Linked DNA regions of Cricetulus griseus. The protein of the gene in region 2 interacts with the protein of the main gene of each other region in a pairwise test. Links are inferred from orthologs where the notes say so. Each region holds a gene or a part of one and is shown on either strand. Other genes may lie near its edges.

What was found.
Region 1: the proteins of Vps52 (region 2) and Nfkbib interact in binary tests that used the Homo sapiens proteins (3 or more experiments, as listed by UniProt). The two-hybrid records come from large-scale screens. The link is inferred for Cricetulus griseus from reciprocal best matches to the Homo sapiens genes VPS52 and NFKBIB.

What each region holds. Positions count from the first base shown.
Region 1 is NC_048602.1:7,103,829-7,108,165, forward strand, and holds the start of Nfkbib (NF-kappa-B inhibitor beta), read left to right. Parts: upstream 1-1,481; 5' UTR 1,482-1,560; coding exon 1,561-1,739; intron 1,740-4,245; coding exon 4,246-4,337. Other genes in the region: Sirt2 (NAD-dependent protein deacetylase sirtuin-2), read right to left, coding at 307-353, 1,117-1,132. UniProt on the Homo sapiens protein: Inhibits NF-kappa-B by complexing with and trapping it in the cytoplasm.
Region 2 is NW_023276806.1:232,050,632-232,054,190, reverse strand, and holds part of Vps52 (vacuolar protein sorting-associated protein 52 homolog), read left to right. Parts: intron 1-887; coding exon 888-1,021; intron 1,022-1,331; coding exon 1,332-1,487; intron 1,488-1,900; coding exon 1,901-2,019; intron 2,020-2,333; coding exon 2,334-2,457; intron 2,458-2,612; coding exon 2,613-2,708; intron 2,709-2,797; coding exon 2,798-2,905; intron 2,906-3,063; coding exon 3,064-3,129; intron 3,130-3,559. UniProt on the Homo sapiens protein: Acts as a component of the GARP complex that is involved in retrograde transport from early and late endosomes to the trans-Golgi network (TGN).

The DNA.
Region 1 (4,337 bases), on a different chromosome or scaffold from region 2:
GGGATCAAACTAGAAAACCATCTCTTCCAGGCCCAGCACAAATGAGGTTCAGAAAGGGCTGAGGAAAGGGTGGGTAACAGTAAGAAGACAATATGGAAGGGGAACCATATTGGGCATTTTTCCTTGACAGTCCCCAGAAGCCACCATTCCCCAGGAGGCTGTACTAATCCCCAGATGGAATTAGGGACCAGAACCCATAAGCCAAGGACCCTTGGGTAAAAGCCTCCCCTTGCCACCTCCCCCCAGTGTGGAATGTGGAACCAAGTCCATCTCTCTCCTTCCCTCCAACCCGTTTCCCCATCTCACCTGAGCCTCCTGCACCTTCCCTGCCTGGGTCTCCACAGGGTCAGAGGCTGGGGAGGAGGGGGAGCAGACGTGGTTACAGTGGGGGGGGCAGTTAAAGGGATGAAGGATTCACAGTGGTGGAGGCAACGAGAGAACCCACTAACCTAGTTATCCTGGAGTCAGGGACGGTAGTAAAACTGTCGGAGACGGGGACAGGCATATTTTAGAGTGGAAGACACATGTGTGAGGTGGAAAGGCTGAGGGGGAGGTTTAGGAGGAGAAAGCAGGTGCGACAGGACTGAAGGAAGACTTCAGAGTCAGGCAGGACGCGGTAGTGTGAGTGCCAGCCAGGAGAGAGAGGGAGGGCGAAGTTTTTCAAGAGATGGAAATGGGGATACCTCGGCTGGAGTTGAGTGTGGGAGAGGAGATGGAGTGGAGGCAGGAGGTTTAGGAGAGACACAGGAACTGAAGGAATGAGATGGAAAGGGGCAGCAGGGGTTCCCGAACATCCTACAGTTGCCCCTAACACCAGATAACCTTAGCAACCGGGATCGTAGCAACTTTGGTCCTTAGCAACGAGGGTTCTCAGCAACCAAGGTGCGAGAAACGCGATCATTAAGAACTTGGCAAACGGACCCTTCAAGAAATCTCACAACCCAGAATCCCACCAACCTAGCAACACCGACCACTTAGCAACGGCCCTCCAAATCCCACTCCCTTCGTGCAGCCCCTTCCTCCCACCCCACCGAGCCTGTCCTCGGGCCCCGGGGCCTGCAGCCCAAAGCCAGGCCCCGGCGCGGCCCGACCCTCCCACCTGGGCCCCCGACTCACGATCCGGCTCGGCCATGGGAGCGGGGTGGGGGCCCTCGGAGCTGTCACCGACTGCTCTGTCCCGTGACGGCACCGGAAGCAAGAGGGGACCGAGATAGGCCAGAGGACTACAACTCCCGGCAGCCCACGCCGTCCTCAGCAAACCCTTTCGCGCGACGAGCCGCTCGTGGCATAGAACTACAAATCCCAAAAGGCCTGGTGCCTGAAGCCATATTGATAAAGGGCGTCTGGAAAAAGTGGGGAAACTCAGAGAGCCGGCGTGCATCTCATTATCCTGATTGGTTCTGGCGACGCACGGGGGCGGAGCGTAGCCATTTAGCTTGTTTTTATTGGGTAGATGAGGGGGCGTGTTGGGGAATTCCCGGCAGGGCGGAAGCGCTGGAGCTCACCGCAGAGCCCAGCGTCGGGCGGGCGACCACAGGGGGCCACCGAGGTGGCTGGGCCATGGCCGGGGTCGCGTGCTTGGGGAAAAGCGCGGACGTCGACGAATGGTGCGACAGCGGCCTAGGCTCCCTGGGTCCCGACGCGGCGGCTCCCGGAGGACCAGGGCTGGGCGCAGAGCTGGGCCCGGAGTTGTCGTGGGCGCCCCTGGTCTTTGGCTACGTCACTGAGGATGGGGACACGTGAGTAAACCTTAAATTACCTACCAAACGGAGCCCCGGGATCCTACCTGAGCCTCCATCGGCTTGTGATTCTGTGACTTACTTACTACCTTCTGGTTCCTACCCCTGACTTCCGATACGAGCCTTCCTGACCCATACATAACTCCCCCCACCCCCAATCCTAAGTTGTGAGTCTGGTTTCACCCACGGTCAAGCGTCTCGCCTTTCTTGGAACTGTAAATTTGTGCTCCTGGAATCCGCATCCTTACCATGGGTCCCCATACCGCATCTGAACCTTTCCAACCCGGTCCCCCCAGACCTTTCCCACGAATTCTGACCTCTTGCTTCCAAATGTGGCTTTTGATCCGTAGCTACTCTTGTATAAGCCAGATTTTGATTCCCAAAATTAGTCCTTGGCCCTGAGTCTACGACTCTTGACACTTCCAGCATTGATTTGCAATTAAGAAATTGAAGTGATGCCCGGCCGTGGTGGCGCACGCCCTTAATCCCAGCACTGCAGAGGCAGAGGCAGGCGGATCTCTGTGAGTGCAAGACCAGCGTGGTCTACAGAGTGAGTCCCAGGACAGCCAAGGTAGTTAGTTACACAGGGAAACCTTGTCTCAAAAAACAAGACGACAACAGCAACAAGAGAGAGAGAGAGAGAGAGAGAGAGAGAGAGAGAGAGAGAGAGAGAGAGAGAGAGAGAGAGAGAGAGAGAGGAAAGAAAAGAAAAGAAAAAGAGGGGAAAAAGGAGAGGGAGATTGAAAAATAATTGTAAAATTTGACTGGGGAGAAGGGCAGCTGTGGTGAAGGGCTATGCAAGGGATTGTACCCGGGATTTTTTGTCCTTTGTGCTTTTTGCGTGTGCCCAATGACTCAGTGCCTGACCCATGAAGGGAACATAATAAGCACTCTTAAAGAACCAGGTGTAATTTCCTTAATTTTCTTATTTTTCACTTTCTATGTTATTGGTCCTTGTTCCTTTATTATTTTATTCTGATTACTTTTAGATTTGAATTTTGTAATTTTCTTTCTCCTCCTTCCTTTTTTGGGGGGGTCGGGCAGTCTCATGTAGCCCATGATGGCCTTGAGCTTGCTGTTTAGCTGAGGATAGCCTTCAATTTTTCATCCTCCTCTAAAGTATGCATCATTATACTCAGCCAGGGTGTGTGTGTAGACTAGAGGATAACCTTGGGTTGTTTTGTTTTGAGACAGTCTTTCACTGGTCCAGTACTCAACACATCGGCTAGGTTAGCTGGCCGGAGAACCTTAGCTTTTTTCGAGACAGATTTTCTCTGTATTGCTTTGGAGCCTGTCCTGGAGCCTCTCTCTGTAGACCAGGCTGGCCTGGAACTCTCCTCCCCGGTGTTGGATTAAAGGCATGTACCACCAACACCTGGCTGCTTTATGTAATTTGAAGGTTTGTTATTGGAGCCATAGTGTGTGTGTGTGTGTGTTGCTGCCAGTTAAGCCTGAGGTCTTGCACATGTTAGGCAGGTGCACCCCCAACCCACATCCCAGCCCCTGCCCTAGTTTTCCACTTTTTTTGTATTTTGTTTTTTGAGTCAGGCCTTCACTGTGTAGCCTTACACTTGTGATCCTCCTGCCTTAGCTTGGGAAGTACTAAAATTAGAAGCTGGGGCTAGGGCTCTCATACCCAGTTTGTTTGTCTTTGTGTATGTAAGTATGCTTGTGTTTGGAGGCCAGTGATTGGTGTTCACTGTCTACCTCAATTGTTCTACACGTTGTTGTTATTATTTGAAACAAGGTTTCACAATGTAGTCCTGGCTGACCTAGAATTTACCATGCAGACTAGACTAGCCTGGAATTCACAGGGATCCACCAGCTTCTGCCTCTTTCACACAAGCCACCATTTTTGGTTTTGTTTTTGCTTTTGTTTTGTTTTTTGGTTTTTTTGTTTGTTTGTTTGTTTGTTTTGTTTTTTCGAGACAGGGTTTCTCTGTGTAGCGTTGGAGCCTATCCTGGCACTCGCTCTGGAGACCAGGCTGGCCTCGAACTCAGAGAGATCCGCCTGCCTCTGCCTCCCGAGTGCTGGGATTAAAGGCGTGTGCCACCAACACCCGGCTTTGTTTTTTTTGTGACAGAATTGCACTATTTAGTATTTGGCCCTGCTAGTCTAGAACTTACCATGTAGCCCAGTCTGGCCTTGAAGTAACAATCCTTCTGCCTCACCTTCCCCAGGTGCTGGAATTTGAGCTACTACAGGTAGCTAAATTCTTTAAAATAAACACTGGTAAGACAAAGTTGGTAGCTGGACCTGCTGTCACAGGCTTGTCAGCCCAGCTACTCGGGAGGCCGAAGCAGGAAGAACTTGAACTCCCGATCAGCCTGGGTAGTTTATGAAGACCCTTGTCTTATCTCAGAACACCAATCAGGCAGACAAAGGAAGTTGCTGGATTCGCTCCTGTCCCTGGCTCTCCGGGACACTGAAGTGTTTCCAGTTATGGCTACAGTTTGCAGCATACAGTAGACACTCGTGTTTACTGACCTCTGCCTCTGTCCCCAGGGCCCTGCACTTGGCCGTGATACATCAGCATGAGCCCTTCCTGGATTTCCTCTTGGGCTTCTCCGCCGGCACTGAGTACCTGGACCTGCAGA
Region 2 (3,559 bases):
TCCACCTCCCTCAAGTCAGGCTCCACCTCCCTCAAGTCAGGCTCCACCTCCCTAATTCAGGCTCCACCTCCCTCAAGTCAGGCTCCACCTCCCTCAAGTCAGGTTCACCTCCCTCAAGTCAGGCTCCACCTCCCTCAAGTCAGGCTCCACCTCCCTCAAGTCAGGCTCCACCCCTCTCAAGTCAAGCTCCACCTCCCTCAAGTCAGGCTCCACCTCCCTCAAATCAGGCTCCACCTCCCTCAAGTCAGGCTCCACCTCCCTCAAGTCAGGCTCCACCTCCCTCAAGTCAGGCTCCACCTCCCTCAAGTCAGGCTCCACCTCCCTCAAGTCAGGCTCCACCTCCCTCAAGTCAGGCTCCACCTCCCTCAAGTCAGGCTCCACCTCCCTCAAGTCAGACTCCACCTCCCTCAAGTCAGACTCCACCTCCCTCAAGTCAGGCTCCACCTCCCTCAAGTCAGGCTCCACCTCCCTCAAGTCAGGCTCCACCTCCCTCAAGTCAGGCTCCACCTCCCTCAAGTCAGGCTCCACCTCCCTCAAGTCAGGCTCACCTCCCTCAAGTCAGGCTCACCTCCTGTCAGGCTCACAGTGGGGATGCCTGGCTCCAGCCCACAGGCCTCTGCTTACCCTGTGTCTGGGATGTAACCTTTGAGGATGTGAGAGAGAGCGAGAGCTCCCCTCCCAGAGGCTCACATCATTCTGACAGTTTTTCACGTGGATTTCGGAGGGCTTGTAGAATCCCTGACGCCCATTACAGGTATCAGGTGAAGCGAGGCCCTGGTTCTGGAAGGGATGTCCAGCTCATATTTAGCTTCCCAGAGTGCTCAGGTCTTGGCTTCATGGCCTGCTTGGTCATTCTCAGTGTTTTCCCTGACTCTGATGCTGTTCACGATTCTTCTCGAAGCCGTCCCTCCGAAGCAGGAACACCATCTTCACCCTGGGCACCCGTGGTGCGGTCATCTCCCCCACCGAACTGGAGGCCCCCATCCTGGTGCCCCATACTGCCCAGCGTGGGGAGCAGAGGGTATGAGGAGGCCCCCTCCGTGGCTGGGGATCAATTCGCCTGCTGCGCTGTGGGGACAGGAGCCATGGGCTTAGGGTGCAGAGGGAGACTGGTCGTGGGGTGGCTGTCATGAGGCAGCAGCTGGAGTGGATGTGGGGATGGCCGCAGCCAGTGGGGTGGGCTTTCCTTGTGTCCTGTGCGCCCCCAGGGTGCCCCTCCCTTCCTGGAGGTGAGGTATGTGTGGGGTCTTCCGAGCTCTGGTTCCTGGGATACACTGAGCCCCCGTATCTGCGGGGTCAGTGTTGGATCCACCCCTCTCTCTGTCCCGTAGTATCCGTTTGAAGCTCTCTTCCGCAGCCAGCACTACGCGCTCCTTGACAATTCCTGCCGGGAGTATCTTTTCATCTGTGAATTTTTTGTTGTGTCTGGCCCAGCTGCACATGACCTGTTCCATGCTGTCATGGGCCGCACGCTCGCCATGACTCTGGTAAGTCCCCGATTCTGTGCTTTTACTCTCCCTTCCCAGGGCTCCTCCACGTCCAGTGGGGTCACAGTGGCAGTATTGAATGCAGGATGTCCCGTTCTACGTTGTCCAAGCCTTTATCTCACAACATGGCCCCCTAGGAAACCCTCAGAACTCGGGGGACCTGCTGCTTCCTCTGTTTCCACAAGCAGAGAGCAAGACCTCTAAATCGCGATCCTTTACCTCCATCCCAGGCTCAGCCCTGGCTTCAACTGTGAGGAGCTTACAGAGTTGAGGCCAGTGAGTAAGTCAGGGCCCCTGGACAAGGAAGGAGGTGTCTCCCTAGCCAGCGCCTTGTCCCCAGAAGTGCACATCCATTTGCTCATAGCCACTGGAACTTCAAACTAGCATTCAGTTGTCTGCCTGCTGTGCCGCAGAAACACCTGGAGTCCTACCTGGCCGACTGCTATGACGCCATTGCTGTTTTTCTCTGTATCCACATTGTCCTCCGATTCCGCAGCATTGCATCGAAGAGGGATGTCCCTGCTCTGGACAGGTCACTGAGCTCTGGTCCTGGTGCCTGCTGGGTCCAGCTTTTTATCTCACACCGACAACTCCACCCTGCCCCTGGCTCCTCCTCACCCGATGTCCTTCACCCTTATCCTGTGTGTGTCCCCAAGGCAGCATCCCTGTCACACACACACACACACACACACACACACACACACACACACACACACACATCCGTGCATACAGACACGGACACACAGGCACACACACACCCGCTCACATTCCCCTGAAGGGTGCTGTGCCCCCATGGCCTGCCAGCACCCGTAGCCTGCTGACCTTTGGTTCTGACTGACCCTGCAGGTACTGGGAGCAGGTGTTGGCCTTGCTGTGGCCTCGGTTTGAGCTGATCCTGGAGATGAACGTCCAGAGTGTCCGCACCACCGACCCCCAGCGCCTCGGAGGACTGGACACGCGGCCCCACTATGTGAGGGCGGGGGAGGATAACAAGGGGTCTCGGGGTCACACGCAGCGGTGGGCTGGCCACTGCAGGAGGAGGGACTGGGGACAGGAGCTGCAGAGGCTGCTGGGAGGTTATGTCGGCCTGGCAGGCTGATGGGCGTCTCCCCTCCTTGGTCCTAGATCACGCGCCGCTATGCCGAGTTCTCGTCTGCCCTTGTCAGCATCAACCAGACCATCCCCAATGAGCGCACCCTGCAGCTGCTGGGGCAGCTCCAGGTGGGCCGGGCGGGGCGGGCAGGCTTCCCAGCATGGGGAGGGGCCCTGGGACCTGTGTCTCTGACTTGCTCTCTGTTTGGCTTTTGCAGGTGGAGGTGGAGAACTTTGTCCTCCGAGTGGCTGCGGAGTTCTCCTCCAGGAAGGAGCAGCTCGTGTTTCTGATCAACAACTACGACATGATGCTGGGTGTGCTGATGGTAATGCTGCCCTCCCCCACGGGGCGTGCCCATGCTCGTCAGCCTCACCAAGGGGGCTTTAGCCCTGGATTCTGGCAGTGTCTGCGGTGTGGTGTGCGATTACAGGAGGTGCTGGGCTGAAGGCTGTTCCCAAGTTCCTCACTCTTTGTCTTCCTTAGGAGCGGGCTGCTGACGACAGCAAAGAGGTGGAGAGTTTCCAGCAGCTGCTCAATGCGCGGACACAGGTAGGGCCTGGGCTTGGCAGGGAGACCTCAGTGTGCAGTCATGGTGACAACTCACTGCCTGCTGCTAGTCTGTCTCATTTAATTTATCAATAAATTAATAACTTAAAAGCAAAAAACTATAACGGTGTATGTATGTGTGTATATAAGTATGTATGTATGTGTGTGTTTACACCTGCTTTGCAGGGCATTATTTGTGTGTGTGTGTGTGTGTGTGTGTGTGTGTGTGTGTGTGTGTGTGTACGTATATGTGAGCGCACTCCCAGGCACATGTTGTGAAACACATGGAGGTCATAGGACAATGTCAGGACTGGGTTCCTTTCTTGCTTCTTCCACTTTGTGTTCTGGGGACCAAGCACTTCTCCCCTCCTCCCCAAGGCCGGCTGCTCTGTGGAGTGTCCCCTCCTAGTCCTCCCAGTCCATGTTGGGGTCC